Oryctolagus cuniculus: one gene and its partners. The protein of the gene in region 1 interacts with the protein of each later gene in a pairwise test. Links are inferred from orthologs where the notes say so. Each region holds a gene or a part of one and is shown on either strand. Other genes may lie near its edges.

The links.
Region 2: the proteins of ARRDC3 (region 1) and OTUB2 interact in binary tests that used the Homo sapiens proteins (3 or more experiments, as listed by UniProt). The two-hybrid records come from large-scale screens. The link is inferred for Oryctolagus cuniculus from reciprocal best matches to the Homo sapiens genes ARRDC3 and OTUB2.
Region 3: the proteins of ARRDC3 (region 1) and NEDD4L interact in binary tests that used the Homo sapiens proteins (3 or more experiments, as listed by UniProt). The link is inferred for Oryctolagus cuniculus from reciprocal best matches to the Homo sapiens genes ARRDC3 and NEDD4L.

What each region holds. Positions count from the first base shown.
Region 1 is NC_091445.1:14,128,051-14,132,241, forward strand, and holds the start of ARRDC3 (arrestin domain-containing protein 3), read right to left. Parts: upstream 2,837-4,191; 5' UTR 2,510-2,836; coding exon 2,230-2,509; intron 418-2,229; exon of another isoform or gene 337-417; coding exon of another isoform or gene 249-336; intron 1-248. UniProt on the Homo sapiens protein: Adapter protein that plays a role in regulating cell-surface expression of adrenergic receptors and probably also other G protein-coupled receptors.
Region 2 is NC_091451.1:38,893,974-38,898,049, reverse strand, and holds the start of OTUB2 (ubiquitin thioesterase OTUB2), read right to left. Parts: upstream 2,840-4,076; 5' UTR 2,638-2,839; coding exon 2,635-2,637; intron 1-2,634. UniProt on the Homo sapiens protein: Hydrolase that can remove conjugated ubiquitin from proteins in vitro and may therefore play an important regulatory role at the level of protein turnover by preventing degradation.
Region 3 is NC_091441.1:19,985,029-19,988,590, reverse strand, and holds part of NEDD4L (E3 ubiquitin-protein ligase NEDD4-like), read left to right. Parts: intron 1-663; coding exon 664-723; intron 724-1,959; coding exon 1,960-2,067; intron 2,068-3,562. UniProt on the Homo sapiens protein: E3 ubiquitin-protein ligase that mediates the polyubiquitination of lysine and cysteine residues on target proteins and is thereby implicated in the regulation of various signaling pathways including autophagy, innate immunity or DNA repair.

The DNA of each region.
Region 1 (4,191 bases):
CCGCCCAGATTCCCGGATTTGAAACCACTTTTCTTTGCCCTGGCCAGCCAGTGCCAGACTCCCCCTCAGGTCACGTCAAGGTAGCCAGACTGCTGACTGGACAGTCGGCACATGTCTGTGGCAGCCGAGAGGAAAGGGAGCCACTCCGACACGTCGCCCGCGACCTCGGGGGTCCCGCTCGCTCTCCTCACGCCAGCCCCCTCTACGAGGGTCTCTGGCCAAAAGTTGCGCCCAGGGCGACTCTGCACCTGTGAAAGCCGGCAGCGGCTGGCGCCCCGTACGAGGCGTCCCCCTCGTGGCCCCAACAGGCCGGAGAGAGGGACAGCAGCAGGGCATGCCGCGACGCGGGCCCCGGGAGCCCACGGAAGCCCGGGAACGCACTCGCGCGAGCGCGGGCGGGGGCGGCCGCTCGGGAGGGACCTTTACCGGCGCACGCCGGTTCCAAGCCGCGCCCCAGCCGGCCGGAGCCCACTCTCCCCACCCGCGCCGGCCCAATCCAATCAGCGCCCGGCATCGCCTTAGCAACAGGCTAACAAACCTGGCCCCGCCCCTCGCCGGCCGCCCGGGGCGGGGCCTCCGCTGCCAGGCTCGTGTGAGAGCTCTCAGCTAAAGTCATTGAAACTACTCCAGGCAGAAGCTCGTCCACGCGTGGCCGGCTTCGGGGGGCGCCCGGCTGGGTGCGGGGCGTTCGGTTTTCCTCACCACGAAGTCGAGGTGCAGCTAACGACCTTGCTTTCCGCCCCAACGCATTGTTCTACTTTCCCTTCACTGCAAGGCTCAACTCTTGAGAGAAAAACCTTTTGTTTCTTCTCATTTTATAAAAGGCTCGAAATCAAACTCGCGTGTGCGCTTTGCAGCACACAGCAGAACTGTCATCAGGCGCTTTGCATTTCCTATCAGAGTTAACGCTTGGGAAGATGAACTAGAAATTACTTCAAGATGCAAAACCACCTAGGTGAACTGTGGAAACCCTGCCGAAGAACTGATTTCACCTGAGCATTTAAAAAAAAAATGCAATAATGCTGTAACTCAACGCTTCCTTTATTTCTCCCTTCCCTTAATTCAATTAGCATTTCCCTGGGATGTATATCTTGAATATAAAAACGCAGATAAAAGCGAGCCTCTTTCTGAAAAAGTCAGCATTTGCACTAAATACTGCATTAAAAAGGAGAAGCACAAAATTACATAACCAGTTTTAACATTATATTCTTCTTGGGCTAGAATTAAGTCATCGCCACCACCTGACGCGTGTAACCAATCTGCTGAGAGCTGCACAAGCGCCCCTCCTCACCACCCCCCAGAACTGGTCCGAAACAGGATTGAACCGCTTCTAACAAAGGGTGGAAACTTAGAAAAACAAGCTTAGAGTCTCCTATATTTCCACAATGTAGCCATCTAAACAATAGAGGGGAAATCTCAGGACCCCCTCTCCCTTTGACAACCCTCCATCTCCCCCTTCTAACCAAAAATCAAGTCCAGTGTGCGGTCTACTTTTCAATTCCATTGGACTGGCAGGGTTTCATTGAATGCACGTTCCAAAGTTAGACATGATGCTTGGAGAAGAAACTGCTGGCCCTGAATGGCTTCTGAACCTGACTGAACACCGGCCACGGTGATAGATACTGTCTTTTAAAATAAGGAATGCTTGATGCAAAATTCCCAAAGCATTGGAAAGAAGAGGTTAAAAAAAAAAAAAAACACGTGGGGTGTTGGTAATACCATATGTCAAAATAAGCCAGGGAAACCCTCTCTCAAAGAACAATGATCAATTCCTTATAAAGTCCTTTGCACGTTAATATTAAAAGGAAACACATCTACTAACCCTCCTAAAATGTTATTTCATTCCTTCCTTCAAGCTCAGGTTTTGAGCTAAGGTTGCAAAGAAAAAGGAAAAAATTTTAAAAATCTGATGCCGGACCGCAGCTTTCATCAATTCATTTGAAAACGTAGCAGTAAAATCATGGACTCGGAGGCAAGCAGAATTTCCGAGTGAGGTGCAAATGGACCGCAAGTGCGTATGGCACAGCCCGAGCCGGGTCCAGGGGTGGTGGAGACGAGGTGCAGTTTGCAGTCGCTTTGCAGATGCCGGCACGCATTACAGCCTCCCGTCAAGGAGAACCCAAACCTCGCAACTTTGCTAGCCTCCAGCAAACGGCCGAGCTACGCTGCGAGAACCACGTCCACCCGAGAAAGCCAGCCTGCAGACTGCCGAATGGTAGGAAAACTTACCTCTTTCGTGCCCAATTAAGATGTCTTTATGGTTGAAGTATTCTACTTCTTCGGTGTAGTTCTGCGTGTAGGCAGTATTGGAGCCGGCGTTTCTAGACTCCGTCCAGCGTACTTTCGCATGTCCTCTTGCATGAATTTTAAGCGATTTTACTCTGATTTCCCCAGTAACTTCTAAATTCACCCTTCCTGAGACAGTATCCCCGCTGGAATACACGGGGACATTGCTGTCATTCAGACAGTCGAAGCTTATTGTCAAATTCTTCACCTTCCCCAGCACCATGTTGATAACAAAAATCTATAAAAAATATAATGTAAGACCCCCAAAAAAGTCAAGATCGCATATAAAATGGGATCTTCACTCAACACTGATCGATGCTTCTGCCGTGCAAAAATGCAAACCCTTGCAGGCAGGATCAGTAGCTCCTTACAGACAGTTCATTGAGAGCTCTTAAAAGTCAGGGCAGCAGAGAGGCTGCGGCGGCGGCTCCGCGCGCCCGCCCGTCTCAGTGGTCTCCTTACAAAGACGGGCGGCCGGAGCCTGCCAGCTCACTTTAAGAGCAGCTTTGTGAAAAACAACCCCAGTGCGCACGCGCACGCCGCCGCGGCCGCCGGCCCCCCGGGCGCGCGCCCCCGCCGCGCCGCGCCGCGCCGCGCTCGCGCCCTCGCCGGGCACGCGCGCGGGTACAGTAGGCGTGGAGCCGGGGAAGCCGGCACGGGCGCTGCCGGGAGGCCCGGCCGGACTTCGCTGCATTGTGGGCTCCCATTGGCGGGCGGGCTGCCGGAAAGCCCCGGCGTGCTCCCCGGAGCCGCTGGCCGGGCGGCCTCTGACAGAGCGACCGCCGGCGGGGCGCTGAGGGACCGCGGGCCGCGTGGAGGGGCGGCCGGGCCGGCGCACGCGTTAGCGGCGCTGCGCGGATTCGCCCGCCGCCTGCCTGGGAGGAGGAGGAAGGGGGAGAAACCGGTCGGGCCAGCGGCTGGGTGGCTGAGCCTGAGCTAACGACTTTCGGGAGGAAAAAAAAAAAAAGTCCTGAAAACCGGGCCAGGAATCGTGGTCACAGACGAGAGCAGTCTCGGCGTGGATTTTATGCGCGTCCGTAGATGGCTGTAGACGGGGTGGAAGTGAGCTCCCTGGAGGCCAAAAGGGGGCCTGCGGAGCGGACGCCCTAAGGCAGCGAGGAAGAGGCGTAGGTCCCGTCCCCTCGGGGGGCTGTGCCGGCTCCGGCTACCCCGAGCGAGTCGCTGGCGACGTTGGGGGCAGGCGGCCCGCTTCCCCCGAGGAAGCCGAGGTCCTTGTTAGGGACGCCAGCCGTGGCCGGAGTCAGGGTGCAGGGTGCGCGGCTGCAGCCCTCGCGTCCACAGTGCCACCTTGCAGAAGGCAGGTGGCACGGTGGCGGCTCGGCGCACAGCCTTGGTGGGGAGTTGCTGGAGCGCGAGCGATGGTTTGAAGGAGCGAGATGCAGCGTGTGGAAAGCATAATTCTTAGCATCAGTGAGGATGCGGATTCTGCGGAGCCGCGGTTGTCCGCTGGACTGTTCAGCCTAGTCATTCCCGTGCATCCTAATAGGTACATTTGTCTTTTTTGATTGTGAGTGTTTCGGTAAGAAATAGCAGAGCCTGCGTCACGCCCCACTGGGATGCAGAGTGTAACAGCACAAACTCGTGTAGATTACTGGCCTCCGCAGAGCTGCTGTCAGGAGAGCTATAGAAAGACAGAAAAAGATGGGAATCTGAAGCCACATATACGTAACCAGGAATTCTTGGGAAGGTTTTTGGCTACGGCTGTGTCCATACGTTTTAGATTCTTCTGCGTAGTATGTTTGGGTAGATGGAGCCCGGGAGTCACAATAAATGATACTCGGCCTTGCTGTTTTGGAGGAAGTGAAATTTTACTGGGTTGGGTTTTAGTTGACAAGGCAATGTCTAAGGACTCCGGAGCAATAATCTGGAAAGGGTAAATCTGAA
Region 2 (4,076 bases), on another chromosome or scaffold:
CATGCTGTTCCAGCTGGCTGGCTACTCCCCTGCCCCCTCACACGACTCGGGCGACGTCACCTCCTCCAAGACGCCGTGCCTGACCATCCTGTCTGAAGCTGCCCCTCCCGCCTCCCCTGTCACCTTTCATCAGGTAGGGTGCACACTCTGGCTTCCTCCATGAGAATGTCACCCCACCAGGGCGGGGCCATGGCCTCTCTCTGCTGGATGCCCAGGTCCTGGCACGCAGCAATCCTCCAAATACGCGTCTGACAGGCTGGCGTTGTGGTGCAGCAGGCGTAGCCACCATCTGCCATGTCGCACCCCACACATGCCCTGGTTCAAGTCCCGACTGCTCTGCTTCCTAAACCAGTCCCTGCACCCACATGGCCATTTGGGGAGTGAACCAGTGGATGTAAGATCTCTTTCTTTCTGCCTTTCAAATAAAATAAAATAAATCAGAAAACCAGTGTGTCTCGCGCATCATGGGGTGGACGCTGTCTCCAGGATGCACCCCGACACCTCTGAATGCTATCTTATTTGGGAAGGGGTCACTGCGGCTGTCCTGAGCTGAGGTCACCCTGGGGCAGGTGGGCCCCTCATCCCGCATGACTGGCACCCTGGTCAGAAGGGGACACACACAGGGAACACCCAGTGGAGACGGAGCTGTGCTCCCACAGTGCCTGCCCGGAGCCTTCGCGGGGAGCACGGCCCTGCCCACCCTGGAGCCTGGGCTCCTGCTGCCGGGAGCAGGGGGGGAAGCAGTCCCGGAGGTTCTCCCCTGCTCTGCAGCCCCCGCTGACCACACAGCGAGTGAAGGGCTCAGCAAACGGAGGCGCAGGTCTCGCCCTGCAGCCCTGTGTCCACTGCTGAGGGACTGCCCAAGCCAGTCTCCGCTGACTTGTCAAAGACAGGGAGTTTGAAACAGGAAAGCCAAGCAGGGGCTCTGTCCAAGGACATGCACATCTGTCCCAAACACCCACCCCAACTCACCACCAACCACGCCAGGCCAACTCAGTCAACGCAAAACCACGTGGCCCATGGTGCCCGGCACACAGTAGGCGCCTTGTGAGCCAAAGAGACTCCTCACACATCTCCTGCTCCCCAGAGTTCCCAAGCTGCTCCCCTGTTTGGGAGGCAGGCACCCAGGTCCCCACGGAGGGGTGGCAGTATGGTGCTCTGACCCCACCTGTCCCCTAACTTGGGAGAGTCTGGCTGGGTGCGAGGCAGAGCCAGGGACCCCTCTGTGTAGCACAAAGGGCAGAAGGTGAGTCCCAGCACCCAGGCCGCTCTCAGTCCCCTGCGGTGGCCAGCGGGCAGAGGCCAGCCTCCAGGTACCACGGCATGACTAAAGCTGTCACCGCCCCAGCTCCCTCCCTCGCGGCTCAGTGATGCCAGGTCGCCTTCCAGGAGCAGCACAGCCAGGTAAGCCCTTGGGCCCCAGGCAGAAGCAGGGAAGGGGTCCTTCCGGAGGCCCCAGGGCCCCTGGCCATGCCCCAGCCCAGCTGGATTGTGAGGGACAGCCCGGCTCAGGTGCCCTGGCCGCCACCCACGCAGCACCCAGAACCTGCCTGGCCATGACCACGCACTGACCCGAGCCCCAGCCCGGCTGCATCCTGCACCACTGACCCATTTTCCTGCCCAGCCATGGGGGGGGGGGGACCAAGTCCACGGGGCCAGGCACCCGTGCACACCCACCTCACAGGAGAACCGGGGTCCTCATGGCAGCCCATTGAAGGGATGTGCAAAACGGTAAAGCTCCTGGCTCTCCAAGGGGTAGAGGTGAGACGGCTGAACCAGAGCTGTGTGGCCCCAAGCCAGGCCACCAGCTGCCACCCTCCGTGAAGGGCCTTGGGGAGCCACTCACACCCAGCCCCCTGCAGGATGCCTGTCCCCGGCGCAACACAAAGAGCACTGGTCTTGGAGTTTAAGTTCAAGTCCAAGTACCAGTCCCTTCCCTGTCTGGTCTCAGTTCCTCCACTCTCACACCAGTCCAGGATCTGGCCTGGCTCAGAGGGTACCCGGAGCCGCGCTGCTCCACCGGACTCTGGATCAGGGGTCTTTCTTGTCTGTGTTCCGGGACCCCCAACTCATGCGCCTCACTGTGCGTGGATCTGAAGTCAAAGACCTGCGGACGTCCGAGCCTGGGTGGACGTCTGGCCGCGCACAGAGACAGGCGACCTGGCCACCAGTGCAGCCTCTGGGTCCACTTATGGACTGGCTGGGGAGCCTGGGGCTGGGGAAGGTGGTCTTCCATGGCGGAGCCCTCGGGTCGGTGAGTGGGGTCGTGAGCTGCCCACTGGGACGCTTAACAAAGAGGGGGCGTCCCGCACTCCGGGGCTTCCTGGTCCCGCTCCAGTCCAGGGCACCTACCTGGTGCCTTGGGGTCGGCACCCTCGGGGCCACCTGGGGCGGACTTGAAGCGGGGGCAGCGGACCGAGCCGGTTCTTCCTGGTGGGACGTGCACGGGCGACAGATGAACACGCCCCCGGGGTTCCCCGCACTCCCGGGGACCCGAAAGCCGTGGGGACAGCGCCTGGAACGGAGTCCGCAGCCCGACCCCCGGCCCGCGAGTGCACATGCGCCCTGGCGGCGACCCCGCCCACAGTGTTCCCATCCCTCTCCCTCTTCGCGTTTCCCCCCACGACCACTGACCATAGTAACCGGAGCCGCCGGGCCAGGTTCCGCCCCAGAGAGGAGCGATCCGGTGCCGGAGGAAGCCACGGGAGGTGCTGGCCGGCTCCGCCGTTGGGTCGGGCGGCGGGGCCCTCGAGGGCGCTGGCGTGAGTGGGGAATACACCCGACCGCTCCGCAAACCAAAGGCTAGCCCTCCACTGTGTCCCAGCAAGACACACGCCCCGCGATTGACGTCGGAAGCGGGCAATCAGAAGCCGGGACACTGGACGTCACAGAAAGTGGGTGGGACTTCACGCGGTCTCAGCCTATGCTTTAGGGTCCATTTGACAGGAGACCGCCCCCTTTTAAAGACACAGAAAGCTTTTAAGTAGCTAGGGAGTTATCCCAACCCAGAAAGACAGGTCCTCCTTTGAAAAGGCTGAAGGGCTTTTGAGCCAAACTGCAAATTGAAGTCCTCTGAAAGATTAGCTGGCCCTCATTAATTCATAAACAAGGTCGCATAAGCATAGTTTGCTCAAGATGAGAGGCCAGGCACTTAGGGAACACGTGTCCAGGAACATGAAGTCACCCACCTGCTCCCGTGTGGCTTCTAAACAATATTTCACCACCGTGCACCCATCAATCAGTGGTCGCCGCGCACCAAATTAAGGTTTGCAGGCGAGCGGACCTCCGCGGCGGCTGACGCTGCGGCCGCGGGCGAGTCGGGCGGCCCACGCCGCGCCCCCGCTCCTCACCAGGGCGCAGACGCGGTCACTCACAGCTCCGCGGGCGGGGGCGGGGCTCCCTGCGCGGCCCCTCCGGGCTTCTGCTTGGGGGTTCTCAGTTTAGGGCGGTGCGGAAGAGCTCCAGCAGCCCCCGGCCCAGGCACGCGGCTGGGCTCTTGTCTTCCACGCTGGCCTCATTTCCTGGGTGTGGGGTGTGGGGGGTCCACAGAGGCCCCAGGGCCAGGCGCCGCACCGGCCAAGTTTTCCCAGCTCCAGGGCAACAGAGCACCTGCCGTAAGCCCCAACACCCAATGTGTATCCTCCGAACGTCCACCCAAGACTGTGGGGTGGGTCCTGCTGTTACGGCCCCTGCTTTACAGACGGGGAAACTGAGGCACGGGGAGATGAAGGTTCGTGCCCAGATCCACGCGGCACACACGTGAGTCACTCAGCCCCCAGGCAGTGTGAGTCAGGCGCTGTTTTTATTTTATTTATTTTTATTTGAGAGGAGCGAAGCAGTGAGGAGACAGAGCACTCTTGTCGGCTGGTTCACTCCCCAAATGCCTGCAACGGCTGGGGGCTGAAGCTAGAATTCAGTCAACGTCTCCCACGTGGACGCAGGAACCCAATGGCTTGAGCCATCAGCACTGCCTTCCAGGGTCTGCAGGAGCAGGAATCGGTTGTCAACAGCCAGGAGCCCAGGCACTCGGATCCCGGCCACCACGATAACTACTAAGCCAAGTACCCGGCCCCAGA
Region 3 (3,562 bases), on another chromosome or scaffold:
TCGCTTTGGCCGAGAGTGAGATTGCTTCATCAGGGAGGATGGCACGGGGGACGCCCCGCCCCCGTGTGCCCAGCCCCCGCTGCCTGCGCAGAGCTCCCATTGGGTGCACTTCAGGCACTCTCCCGCGATGAAGGAACCTCTTGCCCAGGGGGTTCTCAGAAAGCTTCCGGGTCGTGCTGTGTGAGCACAGATGTCAGGGTCACAGGTGTCATACTCCGTTTAGGTTCAAGACCCCAGGAGGCAGGTGCCTGGGCCCCGCCCACCCCCAGGTTAGTTAGTTGGGGACCACCTGGGGACCGAGCCTGGTCCCTGTCCTCCCAGCCTCTGCCACCCCGGGTCGCACAGCCTCCTCTGCGTTCCTCCGCCGTGTCTGCCGTGCACCTGCGGCCTGTGTGTCTCAGGCCTGTGTGACTCGGCAGCATCTCAGCTGGCCTTTGGAATCCACCTGCCTGCAGTACCCTGCGTCTTCCTAGGATTCCAGCGACTCCTCAGGACCCAAACTTCCTAGAGTCTGTAATTTTCAGAGCTTCCGTTGTGACTGTGCTGTTACTGGAACTGTGGTTGCTTTGCTGCTGTCAGTCATCAGTAAATACTCGCTTTTCCTGTAAGTTCTGTTTCTCAAGGAAAAACGTGTTTACGGTGTTTTTCGCTTGTTTCTTCCAGGGATTCACAGAACTCCTTCCCATTGACCTGATTAAAATTTTTGATGAAAATGAGCTGGAGGTTTGTATCATCAGCAGTTCACGTGGCTGCTTCCAGTACCTATCACCGCCTTACAAATGACGCTGAAAAGCCCTCGGATCCCAGTGTCCTAGGGAATAGTTTAGGTGACTTCTGACCCCGAGCTTCCTCGGGGGTGTTTGCCGATTGGGGCATAAGGAATAGAAGAGCAGTAGACGGTACATTTCCTGTTTGTGGCACTGGGGCTGGAGAGCAGACCGAGTAGCACAGGCCCTCCAGGCTGTGTGGGGTTCCCGGCCCTGTGCCCCCGCTGTGCTGGCCAGGCCACAGCTCCTGCGCTGCCTCCCCAGTGCCCCCAGGGCTAGATGCATCCGCTAGGGGCTACGGGACAGGGCTCACGGAACTTGAGTGGTTTGTGGCAGGACAGCAGAGAGCAGAAGGCCGGTTAAGGACCGGCTGTCCCAGCTTTGTGGTGTTGATGAGAAATTGCACCCAAAAAGCGCTCGGCTCTACCCCTGGGTGCATGGAGAGAAACAGGAGCAGGAGAGCCTGGACCGTGGAGAAGCACTGACCGGTTGTCCAAGCCACAGCCGGCAAAGCCTTTCTCCGGTGCTAGAAACCTCAGGATAGATGATGTAACAGAAACTGTGTACTATAGGCCCTTGGTTTGACAGGGAGGGAAACTGAGGCAGGGAGGAGGCCGTAACTTCACAGGTCTGCCCAGCAAAGTCTGGGTCAGGCCTGTGAACCCGGCTCCGAGTCTGCCTCGTTCAGTTCTCTCTGCCCTCCGCCGCAGTCCCGCTGTGGGCATCTCACGTCCGTTTGTCCCTGCTGGAGAGCTGCACAGGAAGAGCAGACCTCCGACCAGATGCCAAGTCAGAGAACCAGTGATCCCCGGCCCGTCTGCCTCTGGATAGAGGACGTGGCCGGCAGCACCTGCGTAGGCCAGGCGGGGAGAGACGAGTGCGTGCTGTCACCGGGCTGCGGTTTTCAGTAGTAAGACAGATAAACACTCAGGAGAGGACACAGCCCAGGTGGCGTGCAGAGAGAACCAGAGACGTGAGGAAGGTGACGGAGGAGGACTTTAGTGCCAGTGTGCCTTGTCCAGGCCTCGCACAAGGGCTGGGGTTGGGTTACCCCTGTACCTGTGCTACGTCCATGATGTGTGGCAGGGAGAGTGAGGTGCACCTGCGCGCCTGCTGTCCGTGGGTTGTGTGCATTGCCAACCAGCCAGCCAGCCTGCCTGCGTCACTCACATCTGGTCACTGTCCCCCACAGTTGCTGATGTGTGGTCTCGGGGATGTGGACGTGAACGACTGGAGACAGCATTCTATCTACAAGAACGGCTACTGCCCAAACCACCCGGTCATCCAGTGGTTCTGGAAGGTAACCCGGGCCCCGGCCTGCCCCTGTGCCCTCTCCCCCGGCAGCATGGAGGGCTGCCTGGCACCTGAGGACCGGTGCTGGAGACGGGGTCTCTTAGTGCTTAGAGTGCGGGGGAGGAAGAGCAGACGGTGAGGCAGGGGTGAGGCTGGCCTGGCGCCATGTGCTGTCCTTCCCTGGCCCCCGGCTAAGGCGATGCTCACGGGGCAGACAGCTCCGATAAGGACTGCACTGGTTCCAGGAGCCCCAGGACAAATCCTCATGGCGTGAGCAGCCCCTGGAACGTCTGAATACGAACGTGCTGTGGCCCTGGCTTCCCAGGGGCTGTTGTCTGTTTAAAAATCATCATCTCCATTTTTGTATATCATTCTCTGTTTAAAATCGTCTTTTCCATTATTTTGTATCGATTACAACATTTTGGTTGTAATCAACCAAATGATTCCAACCAGAGATGGAAATGAAACCTCATTTTGCGGCTGAGGGCCAGTGTTCACGTCCTGGGTAGCTGAGGAAGGAAGTGAAATAGGATTTGGGTTGGCCAAGAGACAGATGGCACACCAACTCTGAACAAAGTCACACTCCCCCTCCTCCCCAAATGATTCAGTTACGGGGAATAAAAAAACCTTTAAGTGGCCGGTGCCGTGGCTCAATAAGCTAATCCTCCATCTAGCGGCGTCGGCACACCGGGTTCTAGTCCCGGTCGGGGCGCCGGATTCTGTCCTGGTTGCCCCTCTTTTAAGCCAGCTCTCTGCTGTGGCCCGGGAGTGCAGTGGAGGATGGCCCAAGTGCTTGGGCCCTGCACCCCATGGGAGACCAGGAGAAGCACCTGGCTCCTGCCTTCGGATCAGCGCGGTGCGCCGGCCGCAGCGCACCAGCCGTGGCAGCCATTAGAGGGTGAACCAACGGCAAAAGGAAGACCTTTCTCTCTATCTCTCTCTCTCACTGTCCACTCTGCCTGTCCAAAAAAAAAAAACAAACAAACAAACAAAAAAAACCTTTTAAGTGGTTTCGATTTCTAAGTGTGTACTGATACCTCACGCACCAGCAGAGGCAGAGAGCAAAAAGCAGAGCCTGCAAGTCCTCACCGAGTCTCCCTCAGCTTGGGTCTGAATTCCGTAAGGCGGTCGAACGGACATTACCAGTAGCCCCTGCAGCCGTTCAGACCCGGGCGGTGCCTGGCCTTGCCTCTGCTTTCTGTTCTGTTTACCAAGTGTCGTCTTTGGAGAATGTACCTGCAGCCAGAGTTCCTGTCTCACCCCCCAGTACCCCGCGTGTGGGCACCTCGGACACACCCAGCGTTTACCGTGGGCTCTAAAGGAACCTGCAAGCCCAGAGCACAGAACCGCAACCTTGACGCCATCAGAGTTTGCTTTTCACGTCCTTGACTTTGGCCTGGAGAGAGACAACGATCGCCCCTCGCTGGGACTGGGGAGGCCGGGGTTGCCATGGACTGGAGTGCGCCCAGTATGCCTGGCACCTGAGGGGTACCTGGGTTTCT